3 linked regions of the Rhinolophus ferrumequinum genome follow. The protein of the gene in region 1 purifies or fractionates together with the protein of each later gene. This does not show direct contact. Links are inferred from orthologs where the notes say so. Each region holds a gene or a part of one and is shown in the gene's direction. Other genes may lie near its edges. The genes, in order: EHMT2, ZNF644 and CDYL.

Region 1 (7,536 bases):
GGGGGGGGGGGTGGCGTGCACCATGCGTGCAGGCAGCGGGGGGAGGACGTGAAAGGCGCGTGCAAACGTGCAAAGGGGGGGCGGAGGAAAGAGGCAGCGAGTAAAGGGGGCGGGGTGACAAGAGCCTGCATCCTGGGCACCCCAGAGCCTAGAGTCCAAGGCCTCTGCTACCCCTTCCTCTGTGATTCCGAGGGCACGAGGATTCTCCCCATCCTCGCGGTGCGGTTGGGCTGGGGGTATGGACGCCGCTGCCCCGCCCCCGGGAACCACGCCTCCCTCCCTTCGGAGGGACAGCGCCTCCCCCCGGGGCAGGGGAAACTGAGGAAGAGGCCTGAAGACTGGGAGATGTGATGCTGGGGGACCGGGCAAGAATGGGGGCGAGGGGCCTGGAGCCTTGGCTTAGGAGAGCCAGAGACCTTTGTCTCTGACCGGTTTCCTTCCCAACCAGGGTTGCCCACTCCCCCGCCACAATGGCCTCTGGGGTGGAAGTCCTGCGCTTCCAGCTGCCTGGCCACGAGGCCGCTACGCTGCGGAACATGAACCAGCTCCGCGCAGAGGAGCGGTTCTGCGACGTGACCATTGTGGCCGACAGCCTCAAGTTCCGCGGCCACAAGGTCATCCTGGCTGCCTGCTCCCCTTTCCTGCGGGACCAGTTCCTGCTGAACCCCAGCTCTGAGCTGCAGGTCTCATTGATGCACAGTGCACGCATCGTGGCCGACCTCCTGCTCTCCTGTTACACGGGTGCCCTGGAATTCGCAGTCAGGGATATCGTTAACTACCTGACGGCTGCCTCCTACCTGCAGATGGAGCACGTGGTAGAGAAATGCCGGAACGCCCTCAGCCAGTTCATTGAGCCCAAAATAGGTCTCAAAGAGGATGGGGTCAGCGATGCCAGCCTTGTGAGCAGTGTCAGTGCTACCAAATCCCTCCTTCCTCCTGCCAGGACCCCTAAGCCAGCCCCCAAACCTCCCCCCCCACCCCCTCTACCTCCTCCGCTGCTGCGGCCTGTGAAGCTGGAGTTCCCACTGGATGAGGACCTGGAGCTGAAGGCGGAGGAAGAGGATGAGGATGAGGACGAGGATGTGTCTGACATCTGCATCGTCAAGGTGGAGTCGGCCCTGGAGGTGGCACACCGGCTCAAACCTCCCGGAGGCCTAGGAGGAGGTCTGGGCATCAGTGGCTCAGTGGGCAGCCACCTGGGGGAGCTGGCCCAGAGCAGCGTGCCCCCCAGCACTGTGGCCCCACCACAGGGTGTGGTGAAAGCCTGCTACAGCCTGTCTGAGGACGCAGAAGGGGAGGGCCTGCTGTTGATCCCCGGAGGCCGGGCCAGCGTGGGGGCCACTTCGGGCCTAGTAGAGGCAGCAGCGGTGGCCATGGCTGCCCGGGGGGCGGGGGGCAGCCTGGGGGCAGGGGGCAGCCGGGGCCCTCTGCCAGGGGGCTTCTCCAGTACAAACCCCCTAAAAAACATCAAGTGCACCAAGTGCCCGGAAGTGTTCCAGGGCGTGGAGAAGCTGGTCTTCCACATGCGGGCACAACACTTCATCTTCATGTGCCCGCGCTGCGGCAAGCAGTTCAACCACAGCAGCAACCTCAACCGCCACATGAACGTGCACCGCGGCGTCAAGTCACACTCTTGTGGCATCTGCGGCAAGTGCTTCACGCAGAAGTCCACACTGCACGACCACCTCAACCTTCACTCAGGAGCGAGGCCCTATCGCTGCTCCTACTGTGACGTGCGCTTCGCCCACAAGCCTGCCATTAGGCGGCACCTCAAGGAGCAGCACGGCAAGACCACGGCCGAGAACGTGCTGGAGGCCAGCGTGGCTGAGATCAACGTTCTCATCCGCTAGCCGGGCAGGCGCTGGGTTCCTGGGTTGGGTGGGAAGGTGGCTCCCTGGCCCAGGAGAATAGGGGGTGTGTGTCGGGGACAAACAGGTACGGTGGGGAGCCTGAGCAGACATACACATCCTGAGGGAAGCGCCCAAATTCCTTGGAGAGAAGATCCTGCATCTTCAGAAGAAAAGGATGGAGAGGCAGAGAGTTCTTGGAGAAGGCCAAGGGAATATGGGGTCCCAGAGAAAGATTGTCTTCTCTTAGAGGTGCATGGAAATGTGGAGGGAGGGAAAGGGTCCTACAGAATGAGGAGGAAAAAAGACTGGAAAATGTTTTATTACTGGCTAAGCCTTCCCAGGGAGAGGTCTGACATTTCTTGAGGTAGGGGTGGGTGGGAGGGAATCGGGAGGGAATTTGGCAGGAGGCAGCTCACAAGCTTCTGCTTAGAATAGATCCTTGGGAAAGGGACTGGTAGGGGGAAGGATTATTGAATCCCAGGAAAGTAAGTGGGGACAGGTCTTGCATGCTGGGAGAATGGGACTGTGGGTACAAGGCTCACTAAAATTCTAGGGAGAACAAGTAAGGTGGCAGGTAAGAGAACATGGGTGAGCATCCTAGGTAGATATTGGGAAGTGGGGTACAATAGCAAGAACAAGAAATAGTAGGGGGTGGGGGGTAGGGCACGTAGATGAAAGGACACAAGAAGGGCTCTTTGGGGGGAGGGAGAGGAGTAGAGACATACAGTATTTTTTAAAGAAACAAAACGTATTTTTTAGGATTTTTTCTGGAGTTTGGGCTTTTAGTTTTTCTGCTTTTGTTTTCCACAAAATAAAAAAAGAACAATTTTTTTTTCTTTATATACTCTGGCAACTGCTTGTAAATGACTGACCCACCCTAGACAGCCTCTCATTTGCTCAATACCCAGAAGTCAAAACTCATGCAGGTCCCATGCCTAAAGGAGCCTTGACAGCAGAAGAGCAGTGTGACAAGTGGGCTCCTCTGACAGGTACCCTCCCAGTTCTGCAACTTCCACACCTGGCAGACAGCTCACAGCACAAGTGTTCTGTGATTTCTTTGGCAGTGGTGGTAACACATGACCTGCTCCTCTGAGGAGTTTGGTATCAGGTCCAGGGATATGCTACAGGTGTGATCATTGTGCCCACTGAAAGTGTAAGCAGGAGCCTATGTTTGGGCATTTTTGGTCTGGGGAAAGGGCTCACGCCCTCGGGAAAGCTAAAAACCACTTTGGATTAGGGTATGGGGAAGACTACAATTCCCAGAAAGCTCTGGAAAAGTTAACCAAAGACAACTACAGTTCCCAGAAGGCCTTGAATTGGCCTCAGGTGCCCTATATCCGAACCACCTGCCTGTGTCAAATACTGCTGGTGAAATCAAACAGATGTTTTCCTAACTTTGACCAGAAGTAGTACTTAAAGGGACGGTACCCTAAATAGAGTTATCAAGGTTGTACACCAAGGCCTAGTATCATTCATACTTCCAGTGTGGGCTGGGCTATGTATGACCCACGGAGTGCCTGACTATGCTTGTGAAGTGTTTGGCAAAAAAGGTTATTTTACTAGAGTGTCACTAGACAGTAATGACCCTTGGGCCACTGGAGGCTTACCTGGATCCCTAGTGCATGTGGTGGCATAACATGTCTGTTACAAACAGAAGAGACAGCCCCAGGTTTCAAAGGGGGACATGAAGCAGCATGCTAGAACCAGCCAAGAGTAAAAGTGTTCTCTGCGCGTCCCCATCATCCCCTTCTTGCTCGTTAGAGAAGCGAGGCCAAAACTGAGGCCGAGCTTTCTGCCTGGTGACCCAGAAACTAGAGAGCAACACGAAGCAGAAGCACACGCGGACCAGATTGGAAATACAGCCGCTGCCGAGAGCCGGAAGGCTCAGACGCTCCGCTTGTTACCTAAAACAGTGGGGGATGGAGACCCACACCCGGACCCAGGCGTGCTTCACCTTCGGTTCCCCGATGAGCTGAAGCTAGGAATGGCAGGATTCGCCCCCACAGCGCCCAGCTTAGGGGAGCCACTGCCATCTCCAAGGCCGCTCTCGGGGGAAAATGGCCAGAGGCCTGTGCAGTGGCTCCTTTAAGGCTCCTCCTAGCCCTCCCTCCCCACCCACGTGACCCGGGGCGGCCGCGCGCCGGCTCGGCCCCCAGCGCAAGCGGCGATGGCGGCGGCGGCGGGAGCTGCAGTGGCGGCGGCCGCCGAGGTGCGGAAGGGGAGGGGGAGAGGCGGGTGCATGCCCGCGCGCGCGCCCGGGGGAAGCGCGCACCCGTGCAATGCTCCGGGGGTGCAACGGGGCCGGGGGGCCCGGGCGGGACTTACAGCAATCCGGAGGGCCAGCACCGGGGGCGAATGAGGGGACCAGGGGGTGGGAGGTGGGGGGAGTGGGCACGGAGGCGCGCGTGCAGCCGCCGGCTGTCCCGGAGTGGGCGGCGGGCGCCGGGGCCCCAGGAGCACGCGCGAGGGGCACAAGGGGCCGTCCACCGGGCTGGGGGGCAGCGGGCGCTGGAGGGGTTGGTGCCCGGGGTCCCCGCGGCCTGGGGGACAAAGGGGGAGCGGCGCGTGCAGCCGGGAGGAGGGGGCGGGGCCGGGGCGCTGAGGCCCCGCCCCCTCCCCCTCCTCTCTTCTCGGTCCCTGAGATGAGGGGTCTACCGAGAGGGAGGGGGCTGATGCGGGCCCGGGGGAGGGGTCGTGCGGCCCCTCCCGGCAGCCGAGGCCGCGGAAGGGGGGGATCCCATAGAGGAAGAGGTAGGCCCCGGAGCCTACTCTCTCTCCCCAGGGCCCAGGCGTCCTGGGCCCCCCAACTTCCTACTGGTCTGACCAGTCCTCCTATACCTTGTGTCGCCTCCCAGGGAGAGGCCCCCGCTGAAATGGGGGCGCTGGTGCTGGACAAGGAGCCCAGAGGAGCCACCGAGAGAGGTGAGTACAGCAGAAACGGGCCCATCTGGACCTTCACCTCTCCAAATACAAGATCCCCTGAGCCCTTAGCCCTGAACTTTTTCTCTTCCCTTACAGTTCATGGCTCTTTGGGGGACACCCCTTGTAGTGAGGAGACCCTGCCCAAGGCCAACCCCGACTCCCTGGAGGCTGCAGGCCCCTCATCCCCAGCCTCTGTCACCGTCACTGTTGGCGATGAGGGGGCTGACACCCCTGTAGGAGCCACACCGCCCATTGGGGATGAACCTGAGAATCTTGAGGGAGATGGGGACCTCCAAGGGGGACGCATCCTGCTGGGTGAGAGGCTTCGGAGTCTGGGGGTGAGGTGGGGTATCCTCTGACTCTGCCTTCCTTCTTATCTTGCCTCTCTCTGCCTGCCTGCCTGTCTGTTTTCCAGGCCATGCCACAAAGTCATTCCCGGCTTCCCCCAGCAGGGGGAATGCCTGTCCCAGCCGTGCCAAGATGTCAATGACAGGGGCCGGAAAATCACCCCCATCAGTCCAGAGTTTGGCGATGAGGCTGCTGAGTATGCCTGGAGCCCAGGGGGCAGCAGCAGCAGGGCCTGAACCCCCTCCAGCTACAACCAGTCCGGAGGGGCAGCCCAAGGTCCACCGAGCCAGGAAAACCATGTCCAAACCTGGAAATGGACAGGTGAGGATTGTGAGAGGGTTGTGGGGATGGGAGGGCCAGGTAAGCAACCTTCAACGTCTTGTAGGCTTTTTTTACAATTTAGCTTTGGGCCTTCTCTGTTCACAGTTTTACATATTTATCAAGGGGCTACTTTGTTTAAATTCTGGGTTGGGGCTTAATCTGAACTAACAGGTTCCTGTCTTCCTGGAGTTTATAATTCCTGGGAAGAGCGTAATAGAAGAGACAAAAGTAAAGACTTACATAGTTCAATGTTTTAAGTACTCTTAAGATAATGACTATGTAAAGAAACTTCAAATCACTCTTTCTTTCTACCTCAAAGCAAGCCCCCAGAGGATTTTTTCCTGTTTTTGAAACTGCCCCTGCTTCATTTTTAAAGGTTGTACCTCCTACTGGGAAGGAGATATGGCCCACAAATGACAGAGGTCCCAGAATCTCACAAGCTTTATGACTGTGTTTTGGGGGCTCTTGGTAGCATTTTGTTCTGGGTGTGGTTTGGGTAGCTTTGGTCAAGGCCTTAACCTTTGTTTTCTCATCTGTAATATGGGAAGAAAGGGCCTGCTGCATGCTTGAAGAGAGAAATGAGGGTTAGGTATGGGATGTGCTTGACACACTTCTCAGGAGACAGCAGTTGTTATAGCCACATTCTGGTTAGTGCAGGTACAGATGGCATTTTTGAGGGTGTGGCTACCATCCCACCCACATCTGGGGCTCCAGGCTAATCTTGGCCACCGACCCTACTCCTTCCCTGACCCTAAGTGTGCTCCCTCTCGGTCCCCAGCCCCCAGTCCCTGAGAAGCGGCCACCTGAAGTGCAGCATTTCCGTATGAGTGATGACATGCACTCGCTGAGGAAGGTGACCTCAGGTCAGTCCCACCTCCCACCCTCCTGGAGCTTGATGTGGCCAGTCCTGAGGATTTAGGGTACAAGCCTCACTGCTTTCTCTCCTTCCAGATGTGGCCAAAAGGAGGAAGCTGAACCCGGGAAGTGGCCTGGTGAGCCTCGAGAGGCAGGGAACAAGGCCTCTCCACCTGGGGGCCTGCTCCAAGGGAAATGGGTTGGTTGGTGGGGGAGTGCTAGGAGCTTCCATTGTTCTGATCTTTTTCTAGTCGGAGGAGTTGGGTTCTGCTCGGGGTTCAGGAGAAATAACCTTGGACAAGAGGGACCCTGGGTCCCTGGAGGAGTGGGAGACGGTGGTGGCGGATGACTTCAGCCTCTACTATGACGCCTATTCTGTGGATGAGCGTGTGGACTCTGACAGCAAGGTGAGAGGGGCCAGCCATGTCCGGGTGCACTCTCAGTCACCCCCTGTGTCAGTCACCCCTCAGTGGCCCCCTGTGTCACTCTTCTCTTTTTATCTTCTGAACACCCCCTGATTCACTGCCCCACACTACGTTAACTTATTGCCATATATGCTGCGCCCCATTCCATCCCTGTGCCCTTCTCCATAGTGGCCACCATCCTGGACTTGAGGTTTAGCATCCCATTTTATGGTTTATTTGTTGTTTGCTCGTTTATCCCTTTGCTCTTGGTTTATCTCATACATGTTTGCCTATGCACTATAATGCTGCGTCTTGCCTGTTTTGCTTTTTATTTTGTGTTTTATCATGAAAACTTTCAAATACAGATGATCTTGAACAACACTTTGAGCTGCGCTGGTCCTCTTATATGTGGATTTTTTTCAATAAACACTGTAAATGTATGTTTCTCATGAATTCTTACATTTTTTTCTCTAGCTTTATTGTAAGAATATAGTATATAATATATAAAACATACAAAATGTATTAATCAACTGTTTACGTTATTGGTAAGGCTTCCGGTCAACAGTAGGCTACTAGTTAAGTTTTTGGGGAGTCAAAAGTTATACATGGATTTTTGGCTGTGTGGGGGTTGACACTCCTAACCCCCGTGTTGTTCAATAGCCAACTGTATAAACAAAAGAATAGAAGAATGAGCCCCATGTAGCCATCACCCAGCTCCAACAATTTTCAATACTCAGCTGGCTTTTTAAATAATTTTTTTTAATTTTCAATTACAGTTGATATATAATATTTTAGGTGCACAAAGTAGTGATTAGACATTTCTATAAATTATCAAA
Region 2 (7,497 bases), on another chromosome or scaffold:
TAGCACTTTGAGTATATGACTTTTGATCTCTTTTACTATAAGATATGTGAGAGCTGAATGTGTTCTATTTATTTTTACATTGTCCAAGAGCCCAGTACAATGCCTGAAACATTGTAGGCACTGCAAGAATATTAGAAGAGATGATGGGTCTGTATCTTCAGTGCATCTTTCGTCTCTGGGTAAAAAAGGATTAAATTTATCAGCCTCCTGGAGACCACAGCCATTCTATGTTGAGGGTGAAGTATGGCAATCAGGAAGGGATCTGACAGTTTGTAAGAGACACTTCAATGTTCTGGAATAAAAAGAGAAATGGATCAGAAAAATAAAGATGACATCACCAAGTTAATTTTTAGACCTGTATTTCTATTTCAGACTAATTGTTATCTAAATCTATTTTTGAAGGTTGCAACCACCATTCTTTTCCATCTTACAATATATTTAGAAAATTTAAGTAAATAATACATGATAGAGATTTTAAGTTTCAATTTGAAGACATTTAATTTCATTTACAATTAAGTTAGATATCAAAGTCCAATTGCTAATTATTATCATGTAATTAAACACATTTGTACAATTTTATCTCTCAATATTGATAACAAAGGAAATCAACACATATAGTGTAATATTTTGGCTTACTATTTTACGTTCATTTTCTTTAGTAAAGCACATGGATCGCTGAAATTACAGATGCCCTTTTTCCTTGGATGGATCTCAACCAAATATTCCGGAACATCTGGAATCTTTCACTTTGGAAAAAATAAACAATGAAGGCATTTCTTAAGTTTAATGTGTGTGGAGTTTGAAGAAGGCTAGTGAGAGTTTTTATCTTAACAGGAGAAGGCTGGCTGATTAATTACCAAGAATCCTGGAGCAGTGGCATTTAACTAAAGCCTCCATTTGTCTCTCAGCCTTGTGAGTCCAGTTGCTAGGTTTCCAAAGTTGATCAGACTCAGTTACTATTTCCCCTTTCTTCCCAAATCCACTGCAGTGGGCTGAGCCACTCCACTGATCTTGTTCACACCATGGTCCCCAGTGATCTTGTATAGCCAATGGACACCACTTATCTCTCATAACCTCTCTGCTACATTTACACAGGATGTGCAGAAACCCTGTTTTGTGCCCACCAGTCCCATTTCCTTTCCTGCAGGACATAGAGCCTAACTACATTCCCCAACCTCTGTCTAGAGTGCTGACTAGAGTGCTGACTAGTGGAAAGTGAGAAGTGACCTGTGCCACTTCCGGGCTTGGCCACTTCACCTTGTCACACTCATGATTCTCCACGTGTGTTCTCTCTCTCTTTGCAGAGGATCCAGTAGAAGATTCTAAGGGGATGGCAAAGGCATATACAAGTATATAACGGTAGGACCTTAGGTGCTTGAATAACTGCTCCCAGGCCTCCACCACCCGCTTCCCACTGACTTCAGTAGAGTGTGATGTGAATAAGAAAAAAACTTTACTATGGTAACCCATGGAGATTGGGGTTATTTGTTGCAGCAGTAAGCTGTTACCAATAGCTCCCTGGCTCTTGCTTGTTACACTCTTGCTTGAATCTCTTCTTATTCCTCTGTCCCTTCATTTCTTATTTTCTTGGACTTTTTCTCTACTAATTCCTTAAATATTTTTTATCTACGTTTCTGTGGCCCACTGTTTACTTTCTCTATATGTGCTCTGTGAAAAAGCTCATATACTCTCATGGTCTACTTCGGATAACTGAGAGTTAGAGTAATAAATGTGTTCTTAAATATTAGATATAATTTTTACTAAATATAGTTATACTAAACCTATTTTGTACCCTGTTTTACAAGGTTTTGTTTAACGATGATTTTGAAATCTTTATTTTCTGTTTCCTCATCTTTCCCATACCCTGGTAAATTGAGAGTTGATGATACCTTTTTGTCTAGTTCTTTTATTGGACTATACAAAGCTCCTCATTTATTTAACAACTACGTATTGAATATGTACAAGGAACTGTCTTATTTCTCTTTTTGCTGACAGTGCCTAGTACAGTACCTTGCATAGAGTAAGCAATTGGTGAATATTGGTTGAATTGAATTATTTATTGTATGCCCATTATGTGTAAGGCTCTGTGCTGAGGTTACCGTGAGACAAAAATAAGGTTTGATGTATTTACTTCTTCATCTCTCTCTATGTCAAACATCCTCCTACTCCACCCTAATTAATGAACATATTATAATATTTGCAGTTTTACAGATGAGACTGCCTTGCACTTTTGGTACTCAGAGATGGGTCCAGAACCATCTCTTGTGAGGTCCTAAGACAAATCCAAATTTTGACTTGACTTTATTACTAGGATGGTAGATTAATCAAGTGTTTCATTTTTTCTTTTTGCCTGGAATTCAGAAGTATTGGAATGTTGAGAATTACCTGCTTTTATCCAACAAAAACAATTGCATTTCCTTTTTGATTAAGTCATTTGAGACCACAGCTTATTTGAATATTTTATTGGGTAATTCCATTCACTGGAATAACTAATGGATTCATATATTGTCTAATATTGTCAGATTTTAACATATTAACAATAGCCAGGTCTTTCTTTCTTTCGCTCTCTCAGCCTCTCTCTCTCTCTCTCTCTCTCTCTCTCTCTCTCTCTCTCTCTCTCTTTCTCTCTCTCTCGATTCTTCATCAGGTGAATTCATCAGAGCACTATTTTATTATAGTGAGTAGATGTGCTTTGTGAATTTTCTCTCGGGGCCAAACTGTTTTTTACATCTTGATTTTCGTTCTCAACTACAATTTCCTTTTAATGTTTTTAAATATTTTGGCATTGAGCCACATAACTGGTTCTTGGATTTTTCCAGTTTGCCTGCTTTTTACAATTTCTTTACACATTACCTTATCCAAGCTTTCTGCCCTTATCTAGTTTTCTCCCACTTATAGAAAGTTTTTTGACATATATTTTGTTTATAAAATTTCATCAACTATTACTACTTTGACTATTACAGTTACTACTATTACTATTTCTTTAGTATTGCCATTTAATTGTTGAATTCTAGTATAAACAGCTTCATTAGTGAGATAAGTGTCTGATCATGATTGAGTTGTAAGTAGTTCTACTTTCTTGTGGTATGCTCTGTCTGCACATCAGTCAGTCAGTAGTGTACATCCACAACTGAGTTTTTTTTGTTGTTGGTAACTGTTTCTGTAGTGATACAATATTGTGAGTATATCCATAGTACATAGTACTTTTATTGTTTATTGTAAGTCAGTATTAAACTGAGAATGTCCAATTTTAATGGATTCTGTAGATGAAATGACCCAAAGGACACCCCACCATTGGCTGAAAAAATTTTTTTTTAATATTTTATTGTTTATCGATTTGTGTAAGTGAAGAAAGAAAAATTGCATTTTGAAAGAGTCCAAAGAGATGTGTGACTTTGAAAAAATTACCTAACCTCTCTTTCCCTTATTAGGTTGGAATGAGTTAAACAATGTTTGGCACATAGTAAGCGCTCAGAAGTGTTAGCTATTATTATAAACGAATGCAGCAAGTATATGTATCTGTTGTTTGGAACCTATGTTTGCTGCTGCTGCTGCTGAAGTCACTATCTTATAGGAAAAAGAATGTTTCCTACTGTTCTCAAATAAGTGTAATTACAGTGTATTCTTCTGAATGCCAATAACATCTTGAAGGTTTGGAGGAGCACAGATTATGATAGCTGCTAAACTAATGAAAACTTTTTTCCTTTTTTTAATGAGAAAACAGAGATTCAGAAAAGCCAAAGAATTTATTAAGGCAGGACTAGAAGATTGCTCTGAACTTGGTTCATATGAAACATGTTAGCAACTTCTTGTTTGTTCAGTTCAAAAGCAAAGACAGAAATAGCCTCTAATTTGTGTTTCTCAAAGTGTGAAACTCTGCCCTCAGACTCCCATAGTGGATGCTTGTTAAAAGAAAGATTTCCAGAACTCTCTTGGGGCCTACTGATTCTTTGAAGGTTAACCCATGCTCGCTCAGGTGCTTCTTATATCGCTTTAATTTGGAGACTCATGCACATTCAGTAATGCAGAGAGAAAGTATCATCAGACTCAAATTGGACCAAACCCAGGGCACCTTTGAGGGTAGGCTGTTCCGCTAATTGAGATGCCACATTTGATGCTTTGCCTGGCCATCAAGCATCTCCCAATAATTGTTCCCCTTCAAATCCAAAAACCTTCCTCTGCCATTACTCTGCAGTCGTAACTGGCAACTTGAGTTCTTTAGCTGTTTTCCTCAACAGTAGGAAAAGAAAAGGAATCCTGGCACGCTAGTGATTGTGGAAATCAAATATGGGCCTGTTCCACCTTAAAGAGCCTAGGCTTGCCTAAGTGTTTGGGTCTTGCAGAGTTTGGGCACCACCATATTTGGAGCGTGCCTACTTTGGGGCGGGAACCTCCTTGAGAGTGATTAGGTCAGCGCTGGGGGAGGTGACCTTGTTTGGTTTCTGGCACCCGACAACAGAGGTGCACTGTTTCTGCTCCCCGGTTTGTCTAATTGGCCCAGGAGCTCCACCAGCGCGAAGCTGCCCAAGAGCTCTTCACTGGCCACCCCCGCGGCCCGCAGCTCGGTAGAGGCGGGAAAGCAGCGCGCCTGCGCCGTGGGAACCGGGGCCGGAGGCGAAAAGCGGGGAGCGGAGGGGGGCCGTTGGAGCCGAGTAGCGTACAGTGCAGCGTGTGACGCGGGGACGCCGCGCGCTCCCAACGTCGCCCCGGTTTGACGCACACGGCACCAAACTGTGAGTTTCAGGGGTTATTTGGTCGGATTCGCCGGGACCCGAGTGGGTTTCGGGACTCTGGGCTGTGGCGGCGGCGGGACTGAGGGTGGCGGAAGAAGTTGGGGGACCCGGCCTTCGGCGCTTGGGCCCGGGGAGCTACGCCCTAGGCTGGGTCCCAACCATCCAAAAGGACGCATTTTGCCGCACAGGCTAAGATGGCGGCGGCGGCCGAGGAGGCGGAGTTGGTGCTATACAAGGAGCCCGGGCCCCGGGTTCGGGGAGGTGGCGGCCGCGGCGGCCGCGGGGGGCGGCGGAACCTGAGGTGAGCGGCGGCCGCCGCCGCTGGGCGGGACTCGGCGGAGGCGGTAGGGGGAGGACCTTTCCACGGCGGCGTCGGAGGACCCGGTAGCGGACACAAAGGGGCTGAGCTGGGCACTAGACTTGGGGGTTTTGTTTAGTCACATGAAGACGAGCAGCCAGTGAGCAGTAGGGGGAAGGGGCCCAGATCTGGCGGCTTGGGGAGCCTGGCGGTCGCCATTGCAATGCACTGAGTAACGGGGCGGTCCGAGAGCAGTCACCAAGCCCTCTCTTCGTGGCTGCCCCGGCTTGGCCAGAAGCGCCAGCTCTAGCGTTAACTGTACACATCCCTCCCCTAACATGGGACCAGGACCGCATAGCCCTCCCCTCCCCCTGTTCTGCAAGATCTTATGCCGCTAGGTGTCCGGGAAGTAGCAGCAAGAGGTAAATCGCTCAAAGTGTTTGGGTTGCCAGGGGCTTGGTGGGTGTCCAGCTAAAGCTTTTTGCTTCTCCAGGTCTGATTCCCTGGCCTTTGTGTCCCTGGGAGCTTAATCTCTGCCAGAGGAAAGCAGGTGTGCTCCACTTCTCCCGTGAACCTGAAGATGAGTTGTCCCAGACCCTTCTCAGTGATTGGAAACTTAGGTGGTGGAGCTAAAGGTTTCTTGTTACGAGACTTCCGCAGACGACTCTCGTGTTGGGATCCATCCATGGTTTAGCAACATTAGTGGAAAACTTTTCTTGAACTGTTTTAAGTAATACTGACGTAAATTTAGTTGTTATAGAACTTTTATGTTTAGACTTCAAATTTTGTGTGGTCATTGAGAAGTACTCAACAAGGGATAAATTCAACTGGGGGCCTGAATGATGGTCCTGTTTTGTATACAAATTAAATAATTTCAACAGAAATACCAAAACACCATCATCTATTCTGGCCAGTCCTGACTAATGCCAGGCTTGTTGCATCCGGATGATAGATTAAATTTGCTTTACTAGTACATTGCCTCTCTGCAGTAGTTTGGTTATATTTTTTGGTCCTGCAAGAAGTAAAGCATTTCAAAAATAGACAACTCAAGTTGCTCAAAGCGAGGAAACCGGCTGTTTGCCTTCAGTGTCATGTGTAAGTATCCAGGGAACTTGATGGCAGCAATATTGCATTGGTAGGTTTGGAAAGAAAAAAATAGTTTTTATGAAAAAGTTATAATTTAGACATTTTAATAGGTGTAACATGAAGTTTTGACTAATATTAATGCCATGGTATATATCTATTGCTGTTAAAATTATGGCAGTGTAAATGTTAGAATTTCTAACAAAGTTATACTGCGCTTAATGGCTGCATTATACTTTGTATATTGGTATTAACTAATTTTTGAAGTACAAAATTTGGAAACAACTCATGTTTTGACCATGTCACATTAACAAAATTATTCAAGTGACTGAAAGAATACTTAAACACGTTTCGATCACTAACTTTAGATCTCTGTTCAAATTTCAAGTTGAACTTTTCAACTTTATTTAAAATTTTCCTTTTCCTTTTATTTTCCCTCCAGATTTCCCTGCTTTTAGCTTTTCTCCTAACAGAGAACAGTCTTCTTGTATTAACAAATAGGCAATATTAGCATTAGCAAAATGTATTACTGAATTACACAGTTTTAGAGTGGAAGGAATCTCGAACAACTAGTCTTACTCTCTTATGCTATATTGAAGGTCAGAGATGATTAAGTTAGTGGCATAATGGAAAATTCTCAACTTCTACCCCATTGCTGTTTTCATTGGTTATGTTGCTGGCATGAGAAGGTGACTCTGTAACTAATAATGGTTAAAAAGTAAAACAAGGAAGTGTGTTTGAGAATACTTGTTAATTAGGTGCTGTTTATTAGAACTGACAAGTTAAAAGACATTTAACATGATATGATAACTTAGTTTTTAAAATACTTCCAGTGAAACAAATTCAGATAAAAAATAACACATTTCAGAGCAATGTTGCTTTTGAATTTGGGGGTTTTCAAAAAGCAATCTTTTTATTAAAACTTTTATTTATTTTAAGTGTGTTTTTCCAGGACCCATCAGCTCCAAGTCAAGTAGTAGTTTCAATCTAGTTGTGGAGGGCGCAGCTCACAGTGGCCCATGCGGGGATCGAACCTGTGGCAACCTTGTTGTTAAGAGCACCGTGCTCTAACCAACTGAGCTAACCGGCCGCCCCTCAAAACCCAATCTTGATTTAAAAAAAAGAAAAAAAAAAAGGTAGCTTGATAAACTTCTTGGAAAGTTTGAAATAACTGCCATTATTACCAGTTATTACATAAGAAATGAGATGCTGAAAACAATGGTGCTAGTGCCTTTCATTTTGTAACTGTATTTTAGTTGGGTAAGTTAACATGCCTTTTAATACTGGTTCTAGTTAGAAACAACGTAAGACTACTGCTACTGAGTAGTAGTTCTGTAAAATCTATTAGGAAATTCTTTCAACAAGTAGTAAAATCATTTATAG
Region 3 (7,077 bases), on another chromosome or scaffold:
TTTTCTTACTTTTTTCTGAGTAGGTGATTGAGAGAGGAATTTCCCCAAGTCTTGTGGAGTGGGTACTCTATAACAAGAATGATATTTTAATTTATCTTTGGCCACAGTGTGAACAAACAAACATAGGTCACTTCTTCATAAAAACCACAGTTAAATTTTGGGTTTTGGAGGAGGTAGCCCAAATAGATTATGCTTTTGGGGTGCAACATTGAGGAAGGGAATCATTATTGGCAGCTTTTCCAGTCATCCCAACTCAAAATGCCTTTGGTTCTGAGGGTAGTAGTTGCTAAATTTTGGATTCTTTTGTCTTTCCAGTCCCATCCCCCATCTCCTCACCAGGGCCTTGGAATTCAAATGTAGATGGAATGCAAATTCTTGGGAGAATGGAAGATGTGACCAGTTGGGCTGTTGAATGGGAAAAGGGGTGAACCTCTAATTTAATATATTAGTCTTTGTTCTGCGAGTGAGAAACAGCTTTCGCTCCTGATTTGGAGTCTTACCTTGATTCGTACTGAGTGTCTATTACCAATTGTTCAGATAAATTTGGAAAAGGAGTAAACTGGTTTATGTTGGTCTCCACCACTGGCTCACAGAAGGTAAGAGTTGAAACTTATTGCCCATAGATGTGTAGTATTTCAATCGCATGTGTATGTCCTCTCGATGTTGACTGCTTCTACAATCATTATGATTTATGTATTTTACTAGTATATACTATTGTGTTGCATGTATTTTTGGTACAATGCAGATATCTTGATGTGTTTAGAAAATGTGATTTCACTTTTATTCTCAAATTTACTGAGAAAGTACTTTCACAGCACCCACACATGTGGTCATGGTAACTACTGCAAATTTTCACTCTTTCATTAAAGGTAGAAATTCACAGCCATTAAAGAATCTTGGACATATTTACTTCTATTATGAACACTGGTAAAATGTTGTTTATATAAAAAAGTGAGGGAAGAAAGCAGAATTTGCTTAAAAGTAAGACAAATTGAACTAATGAGGTAAAATATAAACATAAACAAAATAGCATTCAATAAACTGGTAGGTGTTTTAGGTGGAGGGCAGATGAGAGGAACAAAATGGACAGTTGAAGACTTGCTTAATATCTCAGTCACTAGTTGGCTACCTTAGTACCAGTCTCCTCTGCCGTGTTCTTAATTAAGATGGAAACCAACTAATTGTTGGAGGAGAGAGGTAGCTGGAACTGAGCTTAGGAGAATGGCTTACTCCTGCTTTGTTATGGCGGTGATCTCTACCCAGTGGATACTCTTTTAACGTTGACGAATAATCATAGCATCATAAATAAGCCTGGTCATCAGGATTAAAGGTCCATCCATGTAAATTGACTTTTTGGAGTTAATCTTTTTAGGCTGTAATTTGTCCTCCTCTCTTTTTTCTCACAATGGGGAAAGTCATCTTAACCTATGATTGCATATACCCTCAAATGTATGAGCTTAATAAGTATGGTTGTTGTGGATATCTTTCTATCCTTGTTTCTTTCTCCCTTCCCTTGGTAACAGTGGTAGTATTGGAGACTTCAAGAACAATATATTTAATATCACAGCCACTAAGCATACGGTGGAGCAACTTGTGAATGTGTAGCAAATTCTGTGCTTACGATGGCAATGAGAAAAAAATTGTTTATATCAGTCTACTATCATTGTATATAGGTTTGTATGTGAGATATCTGTTCATTTCATATTGAGGATTCCTTTTTTCTTATATATATTTGATTATGCTTGTGATTTTTAAGCATCTCCTGCAAGTATTTGAGCACTTTTGCTGAGTCGTTTGCACTAATTGACTTGAGACTTCGCAGTTAAAGTCTTAGTCCTTGCCTTCAAGGAGCTTACAACTTACGTTGATGAATTTGTGTGCCTAGAGAGACAATAATCAAATGCAGCAAATAATGAAATTGCTAAGTGAGAGGAGAGAGGCGCTGATATTTGGAGGAGGGAAAGAGAATTTGCTTGGCCCTCAGGGAAAAAAAGGTAGAACTTGGGAGAGCCTTGACAAAGGAGATGGGAACTTTAATGTGATTCTGCTATTAAAGCATTTAATAATGGGATTTGGATGTGTGCGTATCCGGCTTTATTTTGGACACTGGAATTCCACTTTATTGAACAAAAACTTATTTTGTATGTAGAGAATGGTGCCAGGGGCTGAAGAGTCAAATTTGAAGATGAGATCTGGGAAGTCATAGTCTTGAAATAGAAGAGGGAGAGAAGAGTGGACAAAACAGTGAAAATACACTGAGATACCTAAGTGCTGCAATGGAGCACTCCTGAGTGCTTCAGGCGCCACTGGAGAGGGAGTAACTTATTTTGCCCTGGAAGTTAGGCGGCTATGCTTTTGAGGTGACGTTGGAGCTGGAGATTGAAAGGGGCATTCCAAAGCAGAGGGAATTTCAGGTGGAGGCACCGGTATGAAGAGAATGGTGATTCGACTTGAAGGGAATCAACAGCAAGCGTTGTGCTCGTTTTTTTGGGCGTGGGGAGGGCAGGAAACTCAGCGGGGTCTGTGAAAAGCCTTGTGGTTGTTAAACTGTATATTCCGGGCACACTCGAATGGGGTTTTAGGGAGAAAACTGGTGGGAGGAGCCTGGTGGGTGGGAGGTCGGTTAGGAACTGGAGCTGGGTAGAGCACCAGGAACCGGTGGCAGGAGAGGATGCATGGGGAGGAATGTAGGATTTTGATGGTGGCTTCCAGGTGTAGGGAGTTGGAGAGAATGTGAAAAATGTCTCTGCAGTGCCCGGTGGAGAAGTTCCGCTGCATTCAGCAGGAAGGTTTGGAGTTGTCGGCTGTTTGGGAGAGTCGGGCCAGGAAGCCCCTTCCTCACTCCGCACGCTTTGGGGAACGTCCAGTCTCCCGGCAGGTGTGCCTTGGACACTAGTCATGCTGGCCGTCCCCACTTTGCCCATTTCCCCTGTGAAGTGGAGCACGGGCCAGCCCATCGCTGTTCTGACCGAGAGACCCGTGGTGTAGTTGTCCACACCGTTCCCCCCTAGGAGGACCACCACTGACAGCTTCGTTCCAGTAGAACCTAGACCTCCCTGGAGTCCAGATTTCGGCCCCTCCTCCTAGTTCCCCTTCAGAGGAGGTGGATGCTCCAAGAGGAACAGGGAGGCCTGGCGTGGGGGAAGCTGCGGGCAGAGTGGAGGCAGCCGCGCCCTCGCGCCGCCCTCTCCTGCGCCGGGCTCCCGCCCCAGGCTCCCACCCCCAGCCTGCCGCGGACCGAGCTTGCCCGGAGCGCGCCGGGCCACATCGCGGGGCACGTGGTCCGGGCTCCGGGTGTTGGCGGTTGCCGCCGGGGAGGCGGGCACGTGGTAGGGCGGGGGTGTTCCACCTGGCCACGCCGCCAGCCCTCTGAGGGCTGGCCTGGCCCGGGACCGGTGACTGCGGCGGACGCTCGGTGGTGGGAGCTCTGCGCTCTCCAGGAGAAAAGCCATGCATTTGTCCGCACGGCCGCTGCCGTCGGGGCAGTGGACTCCAGACGCGGGCTGGCACACCCCCACGGTCCCCTGCTCAATTTCGGGTCCGCAGATGCGTTGCCCCACTGGGTACTGGGCTCCGGCACCCAGCACCCACGTCGAGGCGGGCAGGCGGGCGGCGCCTGGGCCGGCTCGGACCTGGCGGAGGGAACTTGGGGAAGTCAGAGCCCCGCCCACCGTCCTCTCGGTCCCGCCCTCATCTCGCCATGACCCCGCCCACCGCTCCATGGCCACTCCCCTTCCTGCCGGATCCCTCACCGCGGTCACCCGCCTGCCTTCCCCGGGAGCGGAGCCCACTGCTCCTCTCCGCTGCCCCGCCCCGCCGGCCTCTCCCGGGCGGGCGGCCCGAAAACCCGGAACGCAGGAGCGCGGCTCCGCCGGGCCCGGGCGGCCTCACTGGGCATGCTCAGTAGCCGGGGCAGGTTTTTTGGTCGCAAGTAGGAAGCTTTTTGCACTACACCGGAGAGGGGGAGCCACGGAGCCAGCCGCGCCGCCGTGCACCGCCGCCGCGCCCGCCCCAGCCTGGCCCCGCGGCGGGGCGCGATGAGCCCGAGCCCGAGCCGGTCCGCCGGGGAGTGAGCGGAGGGCGCGTTGCGCAGCTGCTCCTGCGCACAACCCCGCCGCGGCCGCCGGCCCGCACTGGCAGTGAGTGTGAGAGGCTCGTCAGTGCTGAGCTCCCGGCGCCGGGAGCGGGAGCAGGAAGCGCAGGCCACGCAGGGACCCAACTGAAACAAAGTGTCGGCCGCCCGGCGGCGACGGCGCCTCGCCCCAACCCTGCCCCTCCTGCCTGTCCGCAACTCCGCTGCCCACCATGGCTTCCGAGGAGCTGTACGAGGTACCTCCCCTCCCCCTCCCAGACCCTCGGGCCGCCCCCGCTCGCCGCCCCGGCCCGGCCCGACGGCCCGGCTCAGCCGCCGTCGCCAGCCTCGCCCCCTCCCCCTCCGCGGCCGCAGTTTGCTGGACGGGAAATGTGTGCGAGGGGAGCCCGAGCCACGCTGCCCCGGGGGCCCCGCGGGCGGAGGTGCTCCCCGGAGTTGTCGGGCTCCTGGGGGTGGGGGGGTCCCGGCCGTGGGGAAGTAGCGCTTGCACGAGTGACTTGCTCAGACTGAGTCCAAAGTGTTCTTGGCGAGGGTGATAGGTGTGAAGCCCCCGTTACCGCTTGGCGGGGTCTGTGGGCGTTGCGGGGGTGCTTTTCCTGTCCATTAATAGAGCATTTTGGAGAGGGTTTTGCCTCCGGCTTTGGGAAGGGGGTTGGTGAGAGGAAGAGTGCAACTGTCTCTCGATTCTGCTGTTGGCCAAAGCGATGCAAAATATCGCACCGAAAATGCTAAACGTTGACCACATGCTTTAATTAGGTTAGCATTGTGGCTAGAGCCAGGAAATTTAAATTTAACGCTGATACACCGTCATTCATTTGCGCCGCAGCGTTGTAAGTGAGAAAAGGCATAATCAGAACTCTTAGTTATGGGCAGTGGTTTTGCCAGCTTCAACTTCAAGTTCTTGAGTTATCAGTCTGGATCTTTAAACATATTTTGTATCCCTCGATGTAACTTTTTGACGTATTTCAAAGTAGACTTCTTGGGAGCACAGACACTTGGAAGGCTTTCTGTTCTTTTGAATTAGTGATTCTTGTGTTTCATAGATGTTTGTAAGTGTATCTTCTTAAGAAACTTAAAACTTCTGGATACTCTGGATTCACCTTTATGATGCGTTTAGGGACCTCAGGTTTAGGGACTTAAGTAAGCGTCTATAACAAGCAGAGTCCCTTGGTCCTTGTGAACGAACCCTTAATAAATACCAGGTGATCCCTTTGAGGTGTCTTCTCTTGTGGGTGTATTATTGCTTTTGGCACAGAATGGAGCTCTGTTGCCAACAATGATAGCCTTCTAGCAGCTTTTTGTTGTTTTTTAAAAGCAAGTGTTTGCAAAAGTTCTCAGGAGGAGGCTGCCTTCTGTAGAATTAATGGTAAGGTGGTTGTCTTCCCTTGAATTGTATGTGGTCAGCGTACCTTAGCTAGCACTGAAAATGTTCCCTTCTATTAAACCATTTTACACAGTAGCAGTGCCCTAGTAGTCAAGGTACTGTCTTGGATCATTTGGGCGTGTAAAGGGGAAAATAATCTCCTTGTTCTCAAGACCTCCCTTCTAGGAAGGAAAGTGTATGGGGAAGACCCAGAGTAGAGGCTAAGATGCAGAAGGTCTTCCAGGCTAAGACACATGGTTGGGAAAGTCCACAGCATGAGGATGTGAGGGGTTTTGGTTTCTCCGTTAGATTATACTGTGATAGTTTAGACTTGAGTATTCACTCTTCATTTTTTGTGATCATAAATACATAATCAGTTAACCATTAATGTTTGGGTGAGGGTAGCACCTTATACATAAGTTGTATCTTATGTGTATAAAAATGATCCTGAAAACAATACATTTACCACTAGTGTATGATGAACTAAATTTAGTTCTTTCTTTGCTTATTCTGTTATCTTCTACTTACTACTTTCTTGGCAGAATTTATTTATAAGTCACGTTTTCTACAATGTTTCTGTTTATTCAGCATGTTTATTGAATGCATGTCCTATGGAGGTTTCATAGGGAGAGATAGGGAGGTATGAGAATGGTTCATGGCCTCCAAGAGCATCTACTGGGGAAAAAATAGGTACATTGCAAAGGAACGATACACCTGCACAATTGAACTTTTGATTCTGGGTTTTGTTGTAGTTTTGAAAAACAATATAGGAGTGCAGTTGAGGTGATAGTAAATAATATGGTGGGCAGTGTCTTTCAGAATAAGTTTTCAAATTCTCCTTTACTTGTAGGCAACACTATGACTATATTATGATTGAAAGTTGATATTTGAAAGTTCTGCATAGTGGTTGAGAGCCTGGCTTTGGAATCAGAAAACACTGAATTCCAACCCTGTCACCTTGGGTAGTAAATTAACCTTGAAGGCTCAGTTTCCTCATCTATAAAATTGAAAGCAATGCTTATGTCATAGAGCTGTGAAGTTTAAATGAAAAAATATGTAAAGCATACCCCACAATTCCCATTATGGGGACACTCACAGTAAGTGATGGGTATCTTTTATTTGAAGTGATCTAACACGCCTCCCCGAAGCCTGGTTTGTTTTCTAAAGATACAGAATTGTATTTTTTTTTTTAACCAAGACAGTATTTGTGAGTCAGAAATGATACGCAGTTGTAAATGAACACTACGTGCTGACAAGCTGTTTGGCAAGGATGCAGAGAGCACTAAGGGACTTAAGTAGCCAGGGCCTGGGACATAAGTTGCCCAGTTTTGTCTAGTTCTGCCTAAATCGAAATAGAAGTTTCACATTTGGCTATATGTATTGACCAAAGAGGAAGTTCAAATTTTTGTTTTTTGAAGTAAAGTGATATGGAAAGAGCAGAGGTCTGCAGTAGCTACGTGAACTTGAGCAAGTTACCTGATTGCTAAGTCTTTGTTTTTCTCACCTAAAAAGAAATGAGATCTCCAACACTTAGAATGGTGCCTGGTATGTGGTAATAGGTCCATAGTAAATGTTTAAATGGTTATTGTAATTATGCCTTGTGAATAAAAAATACAGGATC

What was found.
Region 2: the proteins of EHMT2 (region 1) and ZNF644 purify together in Homo sapiens (affinity purification with mass spectrometry; 3 studies listed by BioGRID and IntAct, with this or other methods). This does not show direct contact. The link is inferred for Rhinolophus ferrumequinum from reciprocal best matches to the Homo sapiens genes EHMT2 and ZNF644.
Region 3: the proteins of EHMT2 (region 1) and CDYL purify together in Homo sapiens (affinity purification with mass spectrometry; 4 studies listed by BioGRID and IntAct, with this or other methods). This does not show direct contact. The link is inferred for Rhinolophus ferrumequinum from reciprocal best matches to the Homo sapiens genes EHMT2 and CDYL.

Annotation. Positions count from the first base shown.
Region 1 is NC_046286.1:2,354,024-2,361,559, reverse strand, and holds the start of EHMT2 (histone-lysine N-methyltransferase EHMT2), read left to right. Parts: upstream 1-4,464; 5' UTR 4,465-4,492; coding exon 4,493-4,772; intron 4,773-4,868; coding exon 4,869-5,087; intron 5,088-5,187; coding exon 5,188-5,441; intron 5,442-6,219; coding exon 6,220-6,304; intron 6,305-6,392; coding exon 6,393-6,433; intron 6,434-6,547; coding exon 6,548-6,703; intron 6,704-7,536. Other genes in the region: ZBTB12 (zinc finger and BTB domain-containing protein 12), read left to right, coding at 471-1,850. UniProt on the Homo sapiens protein: Histone methyltransferase that specifically mono- and dimethylates 'Lys-9' of histone H3 (H3K9me1 and H3K9me2, respectively) in euchromatin.
Region 2 is NC_046292.1:68,788,685-68,796,181, reverse strand, and holds the start of ZNF644 (zinc finger protein 644), read left to right. Parts: upstream 1-4,448; 5' UTR 4,449-4,733; intron 4,734-4,808; exon of another isoform or gene 4,809-5,034; intron 5,035-5,191; exon of another isoform or gene 5,192-5,453; intron 5,454-5,524; exon of another isoform or gene 5,525-6,126; intron 6,127-7,497.
Region 3 is NC_046292.1:89,086,134-89,093,210, reverse strand, and holds the start of CDYL (chromodomain Y-like protein), read left to right. Parts: upstream 1-4,050; 5' UTR 4,051-4,305; coding exon 4,306-4,329; intron 4,330-7,077.